Alligator mississippiensis: one gene and its partner. The protein of the gene in region 1 interacts with the protein of each later gene in a pairwise test. Links are inferred from orthologs where the notes say so. Each region holds a gene or a part of one and is shown on either strand. Other genes may lie near its edges.

Region 1 (11,015 bases):
TAATAGAGAGCAGATTTAGACTGGACATTAGGAAGCACTTCTTCACAGTCAGAGTGGCCAAGGTCTGGAATGGGCTCCCAAGGGAGGTGGTGCTCTCCCCTACCCTGGGGGTCTTCAAGAGGAGGTCAGATAGGCATCTGAACCCAGCACACTTTCCCGCCTATGCAGGGGGTCGGACTCGATGATCTATTGAGGTCCCTTCCGACCCTAACATCTATGAATCTAGGGAGGCAGGAAACAAGGTGATCCTATGCTTGTCCTGTCACAACATCTAATGATCTTGAGTTCATGAAAGCTTATGCTCTACATACAGTTTGTTCTGTTAGTCTATAAGGTGCATATTTACTCAGCCTTCTTCAAAATGAAATTATGGCCAAACCAAATGCTTTAGTATTACAGAAGTAATGTCTTAATTTTAAAAATAGAAGCAAATACATTACAATAGGGAAAAAACATAAGTTTTTATTAATTCAAGCAACAGTTTTAGCCACGGTTGTGAAATCTACATACTAATGCACACAAAGCTTACCATGAGGAATCTCATCTGAGTACAGGTTTTTGTATACATCCATAGCAAAATCCACCATGTTGGTATCACTAAGAAGGTCCAATTTTCCTTGCAGTAATTCTTTTTCATTGTATATCTGAAGCAAGAAGAGTTAAAAGATATCATGAAGATACATGGAATACTCTTTAAATAAGAGTCATTTTTTTAAAGAGACCTCTATTTATTTATTAATAAAGTTACAGACAAACAAAATTTGAAGTCATGAACATGAGAAGTGCCATAGCAAGTCAAACCAATAGTTTCTAGCTCAACATCTAGTCTCTGGTGGACCAGCCTATATTCCACCCTTGATCCCAAGCGTCACCAGGGACCTCAGCTGGTGGCTTCTACAGAGCTATCACCATGGGCATGTATCTGGCATGTTTCATGGACATCCCCCAACACCTGCCCTTTCTGCTAAGAGAGAGAGCCTGTGGTGCAGGCCAACTTTGAGTGCACTAGGTAGCAGCCCTTTTCCACCTCCTCTGGAACCTCCTGCAGAGGTTCTGGCTGCACTTCTCCCTGCACAGGTTCAAGGAAGTGATTCTCCCCCTCTATGCGGCACTGGTCAGATGGCAGCTGGAGTACTATGTCCAGTTCTGGACACCGCAGTTCAAGCAGTATGAGGACAACCTGGAGAGGGTCCAAAGAAGAGCCACTCGCCTGATTAGAGGCCTGCAGGGAAGGCCCTACAAGGAAAGGCTAAGGGACCTTAACCTCTTCAGCCTCTCCAAGAGAAGGCTGAGAGGGGACCTTGTGGTGGTGTACAAATTCATAAAGGGAGAGCAACATGAAGTAGGCAACGATCTGTTCACCAAGGCATCCCCTGGAGCAACAAGGAACAATGGCCATAACCTATTAGAGAGAAGGTTTAGGCTGGACATTAGGAAAAAGTTCTTCAACAGGCAGGGTTGCCAGAATCTGGAATGGGCTCCCAACCGAGGTGGTGCTCACCCCATCCTTGGGGGTCTTCAAGAAGAGACTGGACAGGCACCTAGCTGGGATCACATGACCCCAGGGTTGGTGACTCTTTTCTTGCCTGCCAGGGGCAGGGGATCAGACTAGATGGCCCACTGAGGTCCCTTCTGACTCTATGAATCTATGCACCTTTTCTAGGGGTACACTAATAGAGAATTTTTGGGCTGATACCGATGGCTGATTTTTAATGAGCTGTATCGGCCGATACTGATCCGATATGCAGCTGGGCAGCTTGGAGAGTGGCGTCTGGCTGGTAAGTCTGCTGTGGGGGACGGGGTGAGGAGTGGGGGGCAAGAGGGGTGTGTAGGGGGAGCAGATCAAGGCCCCCCGGGGTGTGGGAGGGAGTGGGGCTGGTGCTGCACAGCTGGGGCAGAGCAGGGGACGGAGCTATGAACAGCTTGTCTGGGGGACATGGCTGGGGGGCAACTCCTGCTGCTGCACACACTGTTGGAGGGCATGAGGGGCATTCTGCATGCAGGGTAAGGACGGGCTGCTGCTGTGGGTTGGGGCCAGAGGCAGCACTGAGCTCTTTCTGGCAGGGGGAAGTGCAAGGGCTGTACTCAGGGCATGCTGCACTGCGGCTGCACGTGCACGAGGCATTTATTGGTGGAATTATTGACCACATCAGCCAAAAAAAGCCGACGGCCAGTGCCAATCCAATATGGGACCAAAGTATCAGTGCACCTCTAAACTTTTCTTTTATGCACTTCCCATCAATGGCCCCACCAAGTCCCAGGGCCTCCTGATCAACCTGCTCCTGGCTCTAGCTAAGCTAGCCATGTAACAGATCAGGAAGAAGTCTCTGGCTGGGGGGAACCCAAGTGACTTTGGGATTGTCTTCTTATCCCTTACCATCCATGTCTCCAGGCAGTTTCACTGGGTAGAGTCCGCTGGCTCCCTGGACTTGAGGGTCAGTAGGTGCTGGCCAGCATGCTTACTTGGTGTCCCCCAGTGGATTACTCATAAACCTGACCCACACTGATGTCCCTGTATTTTCTTTAGTTGTCCCAAGTAATCAACTGTTCCCTGATTAAGGGAGGCTTATAGTTCCCTTGGTGGGCCTAGGTCAACATTCCTCTGGGCATAACAAAAAGGCCTGTCTCCAACAGTGACAAAAGTGGAAGCTAGAGGAAGAACATTGAATTGGTCAGATGTACAATAATTTGTTCTCTATCTATTACATTCCCTGACACACCATTATTGGTTTAGAGATGCCAAAGGAAACACCTCCAATTCTTCTGCTCAAAGCTGTTACTAGATCTATCATCCATGCATTTCATAGAATCATGGAAAATTAGGGTTGGAAGGGACCTCAGGAGGTCATCTAGTCCAACCCCCTGCTCAAAGCAGGACCACCCCCAACTAGATTATTCCAGCCAGGGCTTCATCAAGCCCAGTCTTTAAATTCTTCAAGGATGGAGACTCCACCACCTCTCTAGGGAACCTGTTCCAGTGATTCACCACCCTCCTTGTGAGAAAGTTTTTCTTAATATCCAGCCTAAACCTCCCTTGCTGTGACTTGAGACCATTGCTCCTTGTTCTGTCACATGTCACCACTGAGAATAGCCTAGCTTCATCCTCTTTTAAACCTCCCTTCAGGCAGTTAAAGGCTGCTATCAAATCCCCCCTCACTTCTCTTATCATGCCATCCATCTCTAACACCTGTAGCAATGAATTTCAGCAAGTTAACTACTTGTTGTGTAAATACTTTCTCTTGGTAATTTTAAATCTGTCTTCTACTAGTTTCAGTGGGTGCCCCCTAGTTGTAGTATTCTGGGACTTGGTGAACAATAGTTCCCTGTTAACTTGATCCGGCCCTTTCATGATTTTATTAACCTCTATCATACCCTCTCCTCACCAAACTGAAGAGTCCTAGCCTTCTTAATCTCTCCTGGTAAAGCAACTGCTGCATACCTCTGATCATTTTGGTTGATCTTCTTTGTACCTTTGCTAATTCTACTACATCCTTTTTGAGATACAAAGACCAAAACTGTATAGTATTCAAAAACTGGGTGCACTATGGATTTGTATGAATAGTGTGCTGTGATGAATGTGTTCTCCATTTTTTTTTTTAATACCTTCCTTAATAATGTCCAACCTTTTATTGGGTTTTTTGTTGCTGCTACACACTAAGCTAGCATTTTTGAAGAACCATCTACAAGGACTCCAGAGTCTCCTTTCCGACTCACAACAACTAGTACAGAAACCAGTATTGTGTACGTATAGTTGAGGTTATTTATCCCCAGGTGCATTACCCTGCACTTCCCAAAACAGCCCTCAACTACTTTACCGCTAGTAGGAGTGTATAATTTGGCTCATTATTACCTTCTTTGTTGAAGATGTAATGTTATATGCAGTACTCAGTACAGTTAAATGATGACAAGTCTGTTTAACAAAGAATATTGGGCTAGATAGCCTTTAAAATTATATCTGGTCTGATAATTTGCCCTCGGTAAGTACCAACAGGCCAAAACACTGAACATTTTGAGGAGTCCAACAAGGAAAATAGTGAACTAATTTTAATTTGGAAGTAAAGGCATTTTTGGCTATAGTCATTCAGAAGATGGGGACTTCCATAAAAGTAAAGAAACCACCATTCAAGGACTAGCACGAGTAGGTTAAGACCTGCCCAATAAGAATATATAATAATATAATACACTCAAAAGAGCTGACGAGTCAATGAGACCATCTAGGGAAGTTGTATGGAGACCAGTAAACTTTGCAATCTTTAAATCGACAATTTAAACACAACAAGAAGTTAAACGGAGCTGACTGCCCAGTCACCGGGTGTACGGCAGCTTTACTGACAGCAACCGGCTCTCAAGCTTTTTGAACTCAACATAACACTTGTGAACTGACTGGCACCCAACTGCAAAAACAAGGGTACCGATTACCCCCATCACTTCCTTGCCAAGGGTCCTGGCAAGAGGATCATCCAGGCAAGGACAAGCCTGAGCCTGGGTTTATTCATCTGCTTATCACCTCACACCTCAGGGAACCCCCCCAAAAAGAGGCATCAGCACCCTAGTGTGCCCCAGCACCTGTGGCCTGAGGGCCACGGGCTTACAGCCATGCAGTGGCTGTGTGTCTAATGCACCCCACACTCCCGCGATGGAGAAGTCTGTATCCCGGATCACCGCATCTGTAGAAGAGCCTGCCAGGAGCGACAGGCCCCCCGGGGGCCGCGCGGCGGAAGGGAAGCAGGGCCAGGCTCCCACAAGCAGCTGGAAACAAATGGCAGGGCCCGCGGAGGACGTGGCCTTCCCAGGGTTGGGCGGCAGCCGCGCTCCGGGTTTACTGCAAACGGCCGCAGGCGCCTGGGGAAGAAGGGGCGGGAATCACCCCTCCCCCCCCGGCCCAACACCCACGAGGCCCCGCGGCCTCCGCTGCCTTTCCCGGCTGCCCCGCGGGCCGCGCCGCGTATGCGGGGTGACGGGCTGGCCCCGGGCTCCCGCGCCGCCATCTCACCTCCTTCACGGACAGGAACTCGAGCAGCGGGAAGACCAGGTGCCGGTCCAAGAAGTGCGCGATGCGGGTGGTCAAGTCGTACTCCGCCATCTTGCGAGGGGAAAGGGGCGGAAGCGCCGGCGCGTGACGCAGAGACGCGCCGTCAGGAAGCGGCCAGGAGCGCGCGTGCGCACACGGGTGCCTGGCGCCAGCTAGGGGGCGGGGCCAGGGGCGCGCGTGCGTACACGGGTGCCCGGCGCCAGCTAGGAGGCGGGGCCAGGGGCGAGCATGCGCAGGCGGGCGCCTGAGGGCAAAGGGGCGTGGCTTGTGCTGCCCTTAGCCTCCCTCTGCTCTGCTTTGCTCAAAGGTTGGAGTGGGACGCGCACGTGGCGGGGTGGGGGAGAGGTGGCAGGCACTTCTTCTCGGCGGCTCGGGCGGGATCTGTACGGTCATCCCGCGTGAAATGCTTCGAGTTGGCTGACCCAGGCCTCCCGCACTCACTGGCTACTTGTAGTGAACGAAATAAAGTGAAAAAAGACTTCCGTGCCTACTTGCTTGCCTATTTTTTTCAGCCTACGATAGTTTTTCAGCAAATAGGATCATTTCATATTTAAGAGCTGACCACGCTAGGCGGGAACATCCTTGCTCCCAGAAGAGAGTTGCCAACCATGGGCGACTGGTGCCACTTTGGGGGGAGGGGGGCACGTGCCCCACCTGCAACCAGTCCCTCTGACCAGGGGTGGTCTCCCCGCAGCCAATCTTGCTGCCAGGGGGCTGGGAGTGGGGAGAATGGAGTTCCCTTTTAAGCATCTAACAAAAAATAATATCCAAGCTATAGCAAGTTACAAAATAAATAATGACATTCGTAAACCTTCTGTACTTGAGTTGAACTGCTGTCATAGCCTTTCCCATCATGCTTGACTTCCTGACAGAGGTATCATCATCTCCAAGTAATGTAAAAAACCTTAAATGTCATGTTAGGGAAGAAGGATGGCCAATTGGTAAAGGTCCTGGCCTGAAACCTGCAAGACTGGTTCAATTCCCTGTCTTGCCACTGACATCCTGTGTGATCTTGAGTTGACTTACAGAGGGACCCATGGTAGCATGCCTATCATGGGTTCCATCAAGGAGACTTTCAGTGCCAGTGACAGGAAAAATACATTGTTACGGTGCATGTGATGTGAATGAAGTTTCATTTTTGTAGCAGATTTTTAGATTTTAATGTAATTTTTCCCTTTTATACATTAGAAATAGGGATTTATCCAGATATCTGTGCGGGTATTAATAGTTAATTGATAAGGTGCTAGTCGGTAGCATTCAAATGTGCAGCATAGCTTTTTAGATGTATATAACCATAGGACTTCTTATTGGGCACTGCTGATGGCTCTTGTGTACCCAGTTCTTTATAGTCCCAGCCTCTCCAGTCAGAAAGAGGGTAAGAGAATGATGAAGCAGAGCCCAGGGGTCCTTTGCTGATGACATACAAAGGGAAGCAGACAGAGAGCTGTCCCCCATTGCTAAATTGAGACACTGGGAAATTAAAATCATTCTACCCCTAATCCTCCAAGTCTATGGGGTGATGGGGAATAATATAGATTTCAGATTGATTTCAAGAAGGTGTGAACCAGGGAATGTAAGCAGACCCAGCGAAGTGCAACACGGCTACCAGCAACTTTCAACAACTTTGTAATATGCTTGCATGATCCAGTAGGATAGACATACCTTAGAGAAGTTTCACTCATTCCTTTGTGATTATGACTTTGGCATCCTACATTATTAATTCCTACTTGTTATGAGGCAACATGAGCTGTGGTGATATCACTACATAGGTAACACCAAGCTTGCCGTCTCTTCCAGTTCTGATCCAGATGCTACTATATAGCCTGTTCTGCCCAGCGCCTGGTGGAAATTGGAAACTGAATAAAAATCACATTAAAACTAACCTGAAGTGCCCAAAAGTTTGTCCAACAGCTCTCCCAACTATACAGCTGGTCCAAAAAAAGCTGGTCCAAAAAAAGACATCGCAGAAAAATCCTTGTCTATCAAAACTAACATGAGAAGCAATTCTAACTGGTAGGGACAAAGAGCTTTGGGGGTTTATAGGAGTGATATTGTAGCCATGATGGTCCAGGAATTATGAATTATGCAAGAAGCAAGGGTTTTTGTGGGTGATATCTTTTATTGGACTAGCTTCATGGTTGGGACAGACTTAGACAAACTTTCAAAGAATGTTTCACATTCAAGAGCTTATCTAAGTCTTTCCCAATCATGAAGTCAATCCAATAAAAGATACAACTGACAAAAAAACCCTTGAGGATCTATTGACTTCTATAAATAGTCCATCAATTCGTGGTGTCTGCCCAGTCATTTCTACAATGGGCAACAACTTGAGAAACTTACTATTGCACTTCTTACAGCTTCTAGCCTTGAAGGTTACATCCTCCATCAGAACAATATTTTCCACCTTCAGCTTATCAAGGAATTTCTGTACTGCCTGTAACATAATTATTCCTCCTTGATTATCCACAACATCCTTATGACCATTTATCTGGCCTGTTGCATTGGACTCTATTGAGGAAAATCTGTGAAAGCCACTTGGTAGCTAATCTAGACTGTCCTCCTGGTTGCAGTGAAACAACATAAGCACAGCATACTCACACTCTGCTTCTGAAATTCAGGGTACCATTTACTTCTTAAAAAGTCCTACCTAGACTACATCTAGGTCACTTTTATGCCTACCCCACTATCTCCAAATGACTGTAACTTATGCTTGATTGCAGCTCGGTACGCTAAAGATACCATGCTCCTGGATGCTGAAAAGTCAGAACATTCTTTTTGTTAGGCCTATAACTGTGGAGCTTGCTTTTTCTGGAAAAGTGCTTCTGCCTGAACCTCATTTATAAAGAGTTATGCCAAAGCTATCCCAACTAGTTAAAAGATTATGTAATATATGTAGTGATCTTTGGGTTCAAAGAACTAACAACAACATTTAATTGTGGAGCAATGAGCAACCTCTACAGACCCTTTGTCTCTCTCTCTCACTAACTAGCATAACTAAGGGACAATTTCCCAATGTCCAACTTCAGTAGTCTTCTAAGTAAAGGAGTGTCTCTAAATTACAAATGTTCATATCTGGCTGACTAAATTAAAAGACTGTGGCAGCAGGAGATCACAGTAGATCTACTGGGTCCATTAATGACTTAATGTAACCATTATAAAGGGACTCGGATATCACAATAAATAGCTTCCCAAACATTAATATAACAATAATGAAAAGCAGACATGGAGTTTAGAAAGGGAGGTACTGAAGCAAGAAGAAAGGAAGGAAGTTATGTTTATAATAAAAATGTTTTATGTATTGGAGGAGTATCTATCTTCCTGAATTTTTTTTCATTATGATAAATTACTTGGCATTTGACCTTATAGTTTATCCATTCTGAAACTAGATGATTGCCTTATAAAATGCAGATCCTTATTACTTCCAGTTAATTTCTGCAGCTGCATGGGTACCAGGCAACAAAAGAAAAGAAAAGACAATAAACTGTTGCAAAGGGGTGGTTTCCACCCTCTAAAAAATATTAGAAAGGCATACCTGATGAACAACTAAAATGTCAGGATTCATAGCATGAAAATACCAGGTCACTGTGCTTAACATATGTGACATCAAACCAGGCATCAAATTGAGAGGCACTAACAATCATTGTTGAAAATCAGCTAACCTGAAAAAGGAAGGGTGAAGGCAACCTTTTTCCTAAACATTCAGCACTCACTATTCAACACTTCTGATAAACTTATGAATTACATGATTTTTAATTTCAAGATTTAAAGTGAAATGGCTGGGCTGCATCCAGTAGAAACTCCTACAGCTGCATGTAGATGACCCAGAGAGATTCATGATAGAATACTACAAGGTATGTCAGTGTTGAAATATCCTACGTGCTCACTGTGTGAAAATATGCCAATGAGTCAAAAGGATAAGAGTGAAACTACTGGAAAAACTGATTTGAATGATTTTGAAGGCTGTAAATCCAGAGCTACATAAATCTTTTTGACATTAAGATTTCAGCTGAATTATTAGTGTGTCACCTGCAAAACATTATTGAAAACATTGATCTTGATCAAACACGACCTAGCTAAGGGTGGAACTCTTTTCCATAGTACAAAGTGGTTAATTCTTACACTTGTTTGCTTACAGTGTTGGCAGACTGGGACTCCCTATCTTCTGGCATACAGAAAAGTCCATTGGCAGATCTATAGGATTTTGAAAAGGCGGGTGCAGGCAATGTGGTATATCATTACATATAACACAACACACAATTTTCTCCGGTTAAAAATAAACTAGAAGATTTACTAATATGTTAGGGGCTCAACACTATATTATTCAGTTTAAGATTAAAGCAAAAAATATATAATATTATTGGAATAGCACTTATTTGCTAGATTACACATTAAGTTTCAAAACACAACAAACTAGGCAAGGATAAGCAAAAGTTATTGTTTTATTAGTCCTGTTGTCATTATAGTTAGATGTATAGCTCTTGCTCAGATTCATAAAGCTAACTCTAGCCACCTTGAGCATCTTAACATTTAACACTTTGCTGAGAGTCATTGCCACGCCTGAGTTAGTGTTCATCTGAGCCAGGGGCAGGCAATTATTTTAGGCAGAGGGCCGCTTAGCCAGTTTTGGCAGACTGTCAAGGGTCGCGTGGGTAGCCTCGCCCCTTGACAGGTGCCGTGTCTCCTGTTCATCGTCTTGGGACCAATGTCCTAATGTCTTGGGACCAATGTCTGAGGACCAGCACTGGTGGGGCCCAAAACGGGGTGCAGGCTAGCAGGGGTCTGTGGAGCTAGGCTGGGCTGCACCAGCAGGGAGAGGGGGGAGCTGGCTCAGCTCCATAGAGCCCCTGCCAGCAGGGACCCTGTACTCTTGCCGCCCTGCTCTAGGCCCCGCCAGCGCTGGCCCCAGGACACTAGTGTGGATCCCGCGCTCCCACTGACTCCGGCGCCCACTTACTCCCAGTGGCCACTCGCTCCCAGTAGAAGCGGGGGCAGTGCACAGCCCCAACTCCCTGCTCACCAGTAGGGAAGGAGCTGGTGTGGAGTGCAAGGAAAAGCGGCCCCTTGCCCATCCCGTGGCTGGCGCTCCCTGCTGCAGCTGCTCACCATCCGCGCAGAGCTGTCCTGAGCAGGCACAGGCAGCCCCACGCGGGCTGCTAGCAGCTGCAGCACGGGGTGCCATCCACGGGGTGAGGGAGGGGCTGCTTTTCCCCACGCTCAACACCAGCTTGAGCTGGTGTTGAGCCCCCGCTGCCAGCCTGGGCCCCGTGCTGGCTCTGGGCTCAGCTGCTGGGGCTGTGCCGCAGTGGCAGCAGCTGCTCAGCACAGAGGAAAGTGGCCCCACCCCGTTTGCCATGCCAGGCAGTGTTTGCCACCACCACCTCTGTGCTGCCCAGCGCACAAGCTCTGGGCAGGCAACAGCAGCAGCAAACACTGCCCAGCACGGCAAGCAGGGGGACCACTTTCTTCTGTGCCAAGCAGCTGCTGCCACCGCGGCGCAGCCCCAGTGGGCGAGCCCGGAGCCGGTACGGGGCCCAGGCTGGCAGTGGGCGGGTTACAAGCTGGTGGGGTGGGTTACAAGCTGGTGCTGAACACAGAGAAAAGCAGCCCCTCAGCTGCCCTGTGGCTGTCGCCCCATGCTACAGCTGCTTGCAGCCCGTGTGGGGCTGCCTGTGCCTGCTCAGGACAGCCCCGTGTCTGCTGCGAGTGGCTGCAGCAGGGAGCACTGGCCACAGGGTGGGAGAGGGGCTGCTTTTCCCCCGCACTCAACACTAGCTTCTTCCCTGCCTGGGGTCCTCCCCTGCTCTTCCCCCCCACCACCCCCGCTTACCTGAGTTTCCTGCACTGGTGCAGCCATAAGGAGTCACATGGGCCCAGGCCCCTGTTGTGGCTCCTGGCTGGTGGGGTGGGGCTGGGCAGGCTCTGCTGTTTTGAGGACCCCCTGGGGCTTCCCCTGCGTCCTACTGCCCCTGGCTCCTGTCATTTT
Region 2 (10,875 bases), on another chromosome or scaffold:
CATTCTACAGCTGTCAGCAAACATCAGCTACTACTGCTGCCAGTTATGCCCTTGGCTCCTAAGACAGAGATCCGTGATGGATAGATTGATCAAATTCTGCTTAGGAACCATATAAGTACGACAGTGTATAAAATGGAATTTTAACTTTTTCAATCTCTTTTCTTCTTTTTAAGAACCAAGAAAATTATATGCTCATTCACGCCTATAATTAAAGACCACTATTAAGAAAAGATAGTCATGCATCAAAAGTTAGAAAAAAGCATAATTAAGCCTGCTTGAGCAACATTAATTCAACCCCCTTGTGTGTATGCATTATGAAAGAATCTTTAATCTTTAATGACCAAATACTATTTTTGACACAGGACATCTGCTTCACTGAATACACTGGATAGACATGCCCTGAGGAAGAATCTGGGAAGGTGTAATGTGGGAGATATGTAATAAAAAAAGCAGGGGTTTGCAGGAAGATAAAGATGGTCCCACAAATAAGGTAAAGTTCCCATGCAATTCAGACCTCTGGGAGACAGTGACATATTGCATGTTCTTCGTTTCTGGTACCTGACTCGGGATCCTGGTGTCTGATCAGAATAAGTGTTGAGCATTCATAGTGGAAGTTGAAGTTAATGGAAGCAGGACTTTGAACATATAAGGTGCTCTATATAATGCTATGTACTCTGAGAAATCAGGCCCTAGGTCAGCCAAATCTGACACCTAAAATCCATGGGTAGTTTTAATCTAAATCTCTCTTTGCATACAGAGAAATGAGGCACAATGGGAACATAATTTCCTCACAGGAATAACGGGAAAATAAATTCCACGTTGCCTGTAAAGCTCTAAAATAATATAACATTGAATGACAAAGGAAAACCTATGAGTTTTCCATTAATCAATTTCACTATGTAAAACAAGGGTAATTTCATAGGGTAATTAAGACAAATTCACTGCTAGTGAAGTGCTGAGATACTATCACAAAAAGTACCATAGAAAAGCTCATGAGAAAATAATTCTGTTTTCAGAGTAGGGTTTGAATAACATACCATAAAAAAGGCATGGGTCATATACTTAACAATAATGAGAGAACTATACACTGAACAGCTTCCCATTAGGTAGACTGAATGGGGCAAGGATTCTGCCAAAAACTTGGTAAGCAAGCATGTATTTAAAGGCCATATTAGGAGGTCTATGCACAAGGTAACCAAAGGATTACACAGTTACCTTATTTCTGGCATATCCTAATTTTTGTGTGCTTGACTTTTCAACCATAATAACAGGCTTTAAAAATAAGGCAGTTGTGTACAATATGGATGTTTAAAACAAAGACAAGAACACAAAAGAGAGCATGAAGGATCAGAGTGCAAAACACACATCTGTGATTATCAGTGTGGGCAAGAGGGTCCACAATCTGACTCTTTGGTTTGAGTTTAAATAAACAGTAACCAATTCTTGTGTAAAGTCAGATCCACCTGCAGTTACTCAAACTAAGCAGCTAAATAGCACCTTAATACACAGTGAGTACATCTCCATCAGATGCTTTACTTCTGATTAGACCAAATTATTGCTCAGTAAGCATCACTGTTTACATGTGCAGATGTTTACTGCACAGTAATTTGGTCTAATTGTGAGTAAATTTGCTACCTATTGTCACAACCCAAAGTTGTGAGTTTTTGTTTGTGTGTGCTTAGGCAACGCTAAATTATGTTCCCGCTAAAATTACAGCTTCCTTGCACGGCGGAGTTCTCTGCTGCGGGAGAGAACTCCGGTGCAACGGGGAATTTCCCGCCAAATTTGCAGCTTCTTTGCAGGGTGCATTTCTTTTGCATCTCAGAGATGCACGGTGTAAAGGAGTTCCTGCCATTTGTATGGGAGTTCGCGCCAAATTATTGGCCAATTCTGAATAAAGGTACACGTGGTGGCTAGCTATTGGCTTGCTAGCCGTACAAATGCTTGGGTGGTTTCCGCCCAAGCCGGAGAGAGAGGAAACCTGGAGAGACAGAAAACTCACCAGGAGGAGGAGAATTCACGCTGTGTGAAGATTTCTAAGCGATGTGGACCCTTACGGACCCAACGCACCTCTCTTAAGCAGGCAACAGAGGTCTGATCAGCCTCTAGCCTCTCCCCGTCGCCAAGCGCTGTCCTAGACGTATCCCTATCCTATATACCCAATTTTCAGATCCGCGGAGCCTTAACAACTCCGTGGTAGAGGGAACCGAACCAAGCCCACAGAGCTTTAATAACTCCGGGGAAGATTAGTGCCGTACGAACCCACAGAGATTCAGCCACTCCGGAGGGAACCGAACCCACGGAGCCTTAACAACTCCGGGGGAACTGAATCCATGGAGCCTTGACAACTCTGGGGAAAAGAGATGACTTGTCGTAATCCTCCAACGGGGATTCAAGCAGAGCTGTGCCTGGAAAGCTATCCAGCCTACACCACTACTTCTTTTGGTGTAAGTAAACAATCTTTTAATCAACCACTACGCGTCCGTAATCAATTCTAGCTCGCCGCGGTCTTCTCCGGCCCCGCGTGCCCTGGCTGCTGGCCACAGCCCGCGTGCGCAAAGATGGGCCCCAGCTCGCCCCCGGTCGGCCCGCACACCTATAAATACAAGTAGCAAATTTACTCATGCTTAGTCACTGCACAGTAATGCATGTGTAAACACTGACCAGGAGCAAATTTGCTGCTGACCAGTCCCACCACTAGGGGGCCACCTATAGCCCAGCACTCCCAGGGCCCTGGGGCTGGGAGCTTCTCCAGCCTCAGAGTTGGGGTGGCTCTTTGCCTGCCTCAGCCCCTAGCCCTTAAAAGCCTGCAGGGACACTGGGGCCCTAGGCCACCTGCAACCAACCTATGGCCACTGAGTGTCACTGCAGAGGCCCTAGGCCAGCCATAGCAGGCTGCCCACACCCTGGTGCCACTCCCTGGCACCACCTCACTGCCCAGCTGTCAGGCCTGTGCCGTTGCATTGTGCTGGGGACTGCAGGCACCTTCCAGGCCCAGCATCACCCTGGGCCACCTGAAGCCAGCCTCTTGCCACCAGGTCCCACTCCAGCTGGCTCCAGGTCAGCCACAGCAGCCTGCCTGGACTCCGCCGCTAGTGCCTAGCACACCCTCACCACCTGCCTGCCTGTCCCATGCCATGCATGTGCACTGGGCACTGCATGTTCCTGCCACGGTCCACCAGCACCAGGACTGCTACATGGATGCCCTGCAAACCATCAAGGGAGCCATGCTGGCATCATCCCCAGTGGCACACACTGCCTCCTGGGGCTGCAACTGGTCCCAGGAGGAGACCACAGACTTTGCTGCACTGTGGGGAGAGGCTGAGATTGCACTGTGGGGAGAGACAGGGTGACAGCCAGCTGGGTGTCCGTAGGGAGGGGCTGCCATATGGTGGTGGCCTGCCACACCAAGTACAAGCAGACATGCTCTAGGAGGCCTTGGAAGGTGGCCCAGATCATGTGAAGGGACTCCAGCCACTGCTCATTGTCCCAGGTGTTCTGGATGAGCACATGGACAGTCCCAGTGGTGGCATCCAGGAGCACATCAGTGGCATCCCTGCTGGGGTCCAGGAAGCAGCAGCATGGGGACAGGACACCTGGAATGGCACAGTGAGCCAGGCCAGGTGGCTGTGCCACACAGGGTGAGGGTCACCAGGGCTGAGACTGACCTGCACAAGGTGGCAGTCCCCGCGGCGGGTGAACAGGGTGAGAGCATGGTGGTGAGCAAAAACCCAGGGCAGTGGATGTTGCTCCTGGGGCCTGAGGGTGCAGCAGCCATGGATAGCAGGCAAAGGCTGTGGTGACAGAGCCAACACATGCTGCCACCATGCTCTGCTCCAGGCCAGGGAAGCATGTGATGGCCACCATCAGAAGAAAATTCAGGCTCATTAAGGCACTCTCCCAGGTACACATCTATACATGCACATCTGTCAGGAGCAAATTTGCTCCCAATGGGAGCAGTTCAGTCCAGAGCCACCCCTATCCCTCTGCCCTGCTCTGCCCCCTGCAGCAGCCAGGAGGAGCTCCAGGCTTCCCCAGGTGCCAGCACCAGGCTAGCAGGGGGGTCAGGCTTGAACTCTAGAGAGTGGGGGGAGCTGTCCAGGATTGGGGAATAGCTCCCAGCCATGCAGTGCTCAGGATTGCAGCCCGGCAATGTGGCACTGGCTTGGGTCAATGCCCTGTGCCCGAGCATGGAGGTAAGCAGTGCTTGAACCATGGGGGGACACATGGGGGAAGCAGCGCTGGGACTTGGGGGGATATGTGGAGAGGAAGCAACACTGAAAATGGGGTCAAAGAAGGGAGACACAGCAAAGTAGCACCAGTCCCCAACACTGCATTTCCCACCTCACCCCTTGTCTCCCCTCCAGTCCCAGTGCTGCTTCCACCCCACATCTTCCCCCCAGTCCTGGTGCTGCTCAGCTCCCAGCTCTCTGCAGGCATGGGCAGGGAGTTGAAGCTGACTAGGGGACTAGTCAATTTTCCTTGGGCAGGGGCAGGCAATTATTTTGGGCGGAGGGCCACTTACTGAGTTTTGGCAAGCCATCAAGGGCCTCATGATAGGCAGCCAGGGGCAAATAAATATTAATTTTCTAAATGTTTTAGGGGCCCTGTGCGCTGGATAGAATGGCCTGGCAGGCCGCATCTGGCCCTCAGGTTGCATTTTGCCTACCCCTGGACTAAGGTGTGTGCTACACATGCAGCAGCAGGGCTGAGGGGACTGGGGACTAACAAATGATGCATTAACCTAATTTAATGTTCAGTAAGTCCTGTACACATGTAAAAGCTGATGATTTATTGGGCATTAGATTAATCTAATGTGCATAAAGCATTTCATGTAAATGCACCCAGTGTCTATCTAAAACACAATAGTAAAATAGTCACAGGAGTTAGAACAGGTGTGGGTACTGGCTATCTGACAAACTCCAGTGATTCTTCACTTCTTTATCAGAGCCTCCAGGTCAGATCCTCCTAGATAGTTTAATGTAAGCTTTTTAATAATTTTTATTATTATTTAAAACCTTCCTCATTCTTGCAATCTATTTTCAGGAGTACTAAAGACTAGGGAAAAGGAAAACTGTCAAGAACATCTGCTACAGAAGCTCTTTGAATTGGGGAGTCTGAAAGTTCAATTATGTTCAGCCCCTGAACAACATACTTCCTCTGTTTAAGTCAAGGACATCCAAAGCATTTTTTTTTTTGTTAGTTTATTTATAGGTCTAGGCTTTGATTATGTAGCAATGGAAAGGAAAATTGATGCTAGGTGGCGCAGTTGTTTTATCCACTGCCTTTCCAAACGGAGCTCACAAATGCAGTCTATTGGGCTCACAAGTGAAACAACTCTTGTTCTTAAATCTTTATAATCCCACTGAGCACAAGAAACACCATGATGGAGCAAATCTTGAGCAGAAGTCAGTAGATTGCTTGTACAAGCAGAATTTAGCTCTTTGTGTTTTAGTATGATTGCCATTCTTTTCTCACAGGGCTACAATTTACCTACGTACTAGATCACTAGGGAGTTCACAGAGTTCTGTAATCCAACATACAGCTACATGTAGCTATAGATGTATTCTAAAACACAGAAGCGTGTCTTCCAGGACCATACCTAGAATTATCAGCCTTATTGTCATAAGCCTTAAATTTAAAAGACAAAGAAATAATTAGTTAGAATATTCCTTATTATTTATATTAATATGAATCTTGTCGGATTAGACAAATACAAGGTCTTGGACACACACCTATGAAACAAGGGAATGGCATTGTTTGATGCAGCCAGCTCTTCCCAAGACTCAGTTTACAATCTCCAGGTTCATCAAGGGGCAGTATTATAGGACCTGAATAGGGAAAACTGATCTGACTGGCTGCTAGCAGGTATCTCTGAAAATCTCTGGTCTGGCACTCCCTCCCAGTTGGAGAGGGGTGAGTGAGGGCTCTCCTTTCATACCACATTTGAAAATACCTCACCCGGAAGACAGTAGTTCTAGGAAAGTCAGTAACTTTTATGGACAGCCCTGATATCATACCTGTAAGTACTTATTTTAGATGCAAGTCCTCTGAGTAGCACCACCTAGCACACCAGTCTACACTTAAGTACTAGGCCAAAGTACCTGAACAGAGAAACAGAATTTTTAGCAACTTTGTTCGGCCCAATTTCTGACTTGGGGGGAATTTTAAATATACAATATAGAATTGCAATACTATTACATCAGCTGGCTTGGAATTGCTTTCTTTAAGTGCCTGTTTCAGCAAAGGAATCATTTGGTACATTTTCTTTTCTTTTCTTTGTTTTTTTACCCTGACCAGAAAACAAAGAGGTTTGTCAAGTTTTTTTCCAGCTTGCAGGTAAAGGGTTACAGATTCTAGGAAGTTTTAAATGCAAACTTTAAAGGATTTTATTTTCATCTACAGTCACATGATACCTTAATACCCAATGACACTAACAACAGTGTCTCATTAAGAGGTCATGCAAACTCTCAGATAAACAAGGCATTCTTACATATTTAACATTCAAATGCAGAAGCCAAGCTAAGGCATGGAAGATTTTAATCAGAAGAGCTGCACTTCCTGACCAACCCAAAAGTCTCAGGTAGGAAAAGTTCTTATTCCTTTATGTTTGTCTACATTCCTGATGTTAACTATATTTTCAAGATAAAGTGTTTACCAGGTTTTTGATCTTTTAGTTTTTAGATTAATCTTTCTAATAGTTTCAGCTGGAAAACATTTGAACTCCTTCTTTAATGTTGCACCTGTTGCAGAGGCACTATGTTTTCTGAATAAAAACATTTACAGTCCACTTAGTGGTAAAGCACAGCGGAGCAGATTGATTTAATTAAAAAAAAAGTCTGACCACCTAAAGCTAAGATTAATTTTAGTTATCCTTGTTGCTAAACCATTCACGTTGGGTTTTTGGTCGGGGGCAAGTGGGTGGTTGTAAGAAAAAAAAAAGTTGATACATTCCTTGTGCCTGAAAAAAGGAGTCTAAGCATTTCTGACTTTTTTATGCTATGAATTGCATATATCATTTCAGTGAATATGTATTTTAATGGATCTGGTTTCCCATGATTCCAGTTTCCCAATTCCCATCTCCTAAAAATCTGGTTAATTCCTCAAAAACTTGCAAGTTAAATACAACGCAGGTGAAGTTGGAAACCTCAAAATTCAAAAAAAGGAACAAAATATAGAAATGATGGGCGTGGGGGAACAGTTAAGACCACAACTCTTATTAAAATCTGGGAAGTCAGGTATATATTTTTGTATCAAGCCATATTCAGCAACACATAAAATGGCATAAGGTACCACTTACCTTAGTAGTATCAGGGGGGTCATGGTCTCATTATTGCTGCAGAATTTCTATGTACTGTGTCAGGCAACAAATAGACCTCTTCCCCATATGAAGACCTCTTTCCACACTTTATTTTTTTCTTCCAACAACATAATTGTTTTAGACAAGGCACTATCAACTCACCATTGTATTCCCTTTGCAGGAATGTAGTACCCAGACTTGTTTGACAACTCTCCCTCTAGTTTATCAAAAGATTGCCCCATTGGGAATTTCTCCTACTTAAAGCAACAAGCAGCAATGTTGATTTTCTCTAAATGCTATCCTTCTGAGGAAGAGAGGATGGTTGCTGGGAAGGCCCTTTCTTCAATTTATTGTATAAATATATTTTCTTGTCCTAACTACTATTAAGAGAGAGAAGCAGAAGATAATAATAATGTGTCACACTTAATTGTGCTCTTCAGCCAGCTGTCAAAGCGCTGTCCAAAGAAAACTACCGTTACCCACATTTAATACATGAGGAATCTTTAAGCCCCCTCAAGCTTATCAACTGCATTTTCAGAAGTGGACATAAGCTTGAACTTGCTTCAATTTATGGATTTCTAATTTGAGATACCCTAGGCCTAGTATTCAAAAAGGCAGAAGAAAAATCAGTCCCAGAATGTGTTGTTGGATTTCCAGAAAACTTGTCAAAATAGGGTCCACTCTTAAATTCTGGCTAGAAGCAACTACCATAAATCTACAACACAACTCTGGGGCAAAGGCAGGAATGGAGTTCAGCCAGCCAGGCATTCCCACTCTGCATCCTGTATTAAGCCCTCAGAAGCACAGTGCAGCTGCTTCGCTGCCCAGATTGTCAGGGTAATGAGTATTCAGTTTGAGAAGCTTACTCGGAGATACTTGTTAAAGCTATGACTCAAGGCAGTTGCTGTGCACTATCCTATATTCACATATTAACACTGTTCCAATGTGGTTGATCAGCACACAAAATTACTGTTTAGAATGAAAATAGGGCAATGAAGACTTATCAGTCTGAAGGTATATTCACTTTTCAAGAAGGATGGGCTGATTTGCAGACCAGGGACTTTGAGGACCCCCACTACTCCCATATGTCTGCTCCTGTAGTCCTATACCCAAGCAAGACTTCATGAGTAGACCCCGAACTTCAGACTCCCCTCAAGGCTCCTGCTGCCTGCAATGGACTTAGAATCAATTAAGTATGTAGAACTGAAAAAAAAAAAAAGAAAAGAAAGTGGAAATCGATTTTTGTCATCAAATAGCTGTCTTACTTAATAACATGCATTTCAATATTTCCAGATAAGATCAGCCAAATTATAGGATTTGTTGCTTTCACATAAATATTCGAAAAACACCAGTGCAACCAGCAATTTTGCAGAGATTTGTTTGTGAAGAATAAAATAATTTTTTTTAGCTGTCAGTACCAAAATACAGGAGCCTTTGGTTTGGTTTGGGTATGAGTTGGCATGATAATTATCTAAATGAAATTCTGGTTACCTTAAAGTAGCAGTATATGTTTATTCAAATATCATTCTGTGAACATTACCTTATAACAGCCAGGATGTTATCTTGAGCCAGATCCTAAATGGTATGAATGGGCACAGCTGCACAGATTTCAGAAAATTTTAAATTAGATGAATATCTAAAATATTTATGAATTAGATTACTATCAGCCCCATCGGAAGAAAGAAGCATTCAGCTGTGCATCTCATCTAGCATCTGAGAATGTGCTTATTTTTGTGTTACTGCTGTGCTACCTACTGTTAGCAGTAGTATAATCACAGTAACAAGAAGCCCCAGTCATAAGCCAAGAGCCCATTGTTCTAGGCCCCATACAAACACAGAACAAAAGATGGGAACTTCAAATAATATAAGTACATCAGTCACAGTAGGTCAGGTTTTGTTGACAACTTCTTTGATGTAAAACTAGAGTAGGACCATTAGTTTCAGAGGAAATACTTTAAATATATACTATGATAGGTAAGAATAGAATTTGAACCAAAGTTCTTAAGATCACTGCAGAAAACTTTTCATATAATACAAAGTGCATAGTCCATGATCCATGGGAGGGGAATGTACCAACTCTAAGACTGGCAGCCATCCCACTGTAAATGGAATGGAAAAGGAGTACTGCATCTTTAAATACCAACCGCAGTATATTATGACTCTTGCATTTTAAGTAATGTTTGTACAGATTGGGTGGGTCATGGAAAACCAATATTTAGCAGCTCAGTAGTTAAATCTGCTACATGTTTAATTACGTAAAATGTTCTTAGCGAGTTTGAGAGGTATTGTATTAAATATTTGCACTGGATATTCAATATAGGTTTTCCATGGCCTCAGTCATAAAACATACAGAACTTTACTTTTAAAAAGAAAGAGCCTGAACTTGGATTGAGAAAAAATACAACAATCACATTAATTTCTAAGAACCCAATAGAAATGATATATAAACACCTGGCTTCCTTGTTAGAGGTTCCGCTGTTCCTTATACCAGTAATTTAACAATACTTACGGTAATCAGCATTGCTTTGATTATTGCATTTTGATTATGACATACTCCCATTTAACTTCATGCTTAGTAATGTCAACATGGAGTCAGCTGCAGAGGTGACTCATGGGGCTGCCCTGGTAGATGCACATAGACCAAATACTTCCTTCTGGTTCAAAGGCAGAGAAAAATTCTTGGAAATTAATGAAACATGGACAAACTCTAAAGAAGGGTCTAACAGACAGACACATAATCAATGTGACCCTCAAATAGTTAAAACAATATTTTTTCTGTCTTGTTTTTACAGTAATAGAGTTATCAGGGAACAGCATTATTATAAATGTCAGTCAGTTATGGGCCTAGAAGGCCCATTGGGCTAGTGTAGTTAAGACACTCCAACTTCCACTGCCAGAGACAAACAAGGAAGCAAAGTGGCTAGTATTCCAGTCATCTCTGACTACCTGGACCAAACAGTTAGATATTTACTTACAGTTGGACTGACAGAGGGTAACCTTCAGCACAAATCAACAGCAATACTACATCTTGATTGTAGAAATGAAGCAAAATCCCTTTACCGTTCTGTGGCCATGCTTTTAGGGTGTGAGCAAGTGTTTGCTGCACCTTTACTTCACTTTACTTTTAGCCATCTACACCTAGACTGCAAACAAGCATGTGCAGTTCCAGGAGTAGTGTGCGCAGGCATTCACTGCTCCTGGGAGCCATGTAGAAGCCTGGTGTTAGTAACTCAGGGTAGGAGGAAGGGCAGGCAGGTTGCAGGGAGGGTTGTGGGTCCAGGGGGTGGGGAGGTTGGTAGAATGAAGGGCGGGTAGCATGTTCACAGGGCAATTTGCTGGTTAGGAGTGATGGGGGGGGGAGGGGGGAAAGAGGGCTAAAAATAGCTCACTCAGAGGGGGCATTGGCAACATGTAGGGGGTGCATGCACACCCCCTGAGATTGGCTGTGCCCCCCGCAGTCTTTAAACTTTTCATCTAAACAAATGGGTTCTCCAGCAGCACAGTGCCATGTAATCCCATCCAGGAGTGTTGATTCAATACTGACTGACAAGCAAAGGAGCCCTACTTTCTGAATT

Evidence for each region.
Region 2: the proteins of EIF3E (region 1) and C2H4orf19 interact in binary tests that used the Homo sapiens proteins (3 or more experiments, as listed by UniProt). The two-hybrid records come from large-scale screens. The link is inferred for Alligator mississippiensis from reciprocal best matches to the Homo sapiens genes EIF3E and PGCKA1.

What each region holds. Positions count from the first base shown.
Region 1 is NC_081826.1:32,213,950-32,224,964, reverse strand, and holds the start of EIF3E (eukaryotic translation initiation factor 3 subunit E), read right to left. Parts: upstream 5,111-11,015; 5' UTR 5,084-5,110; coding exon 4,994-5,083; intron 645-4,993; coding exon 530-644; intron 1-529. UniProt on the Homo sapiens protein: Component of the eukaryotic translation initiation factor 3 (eIF-3) complex, which is required for several steps in the initiation of protein synthesis.
Region 2 is NC_081825.1:49,321,038-49,331,912, forward strand, and holds the start of C2H4orf19 (uncharacterized protein C4orf19 homolog), read left to right. Parts: upstream 1-6,491; 5' UTR 6,492-6,583; intron 6,584-10,875. UniProt on the Homo sapiens protein: Acts as a tumor suppressor. Acts as a tumor suppressor for colorectal cancer cell proliferation by targeting KEAP1/USP17/ELK1/CDK6 axis.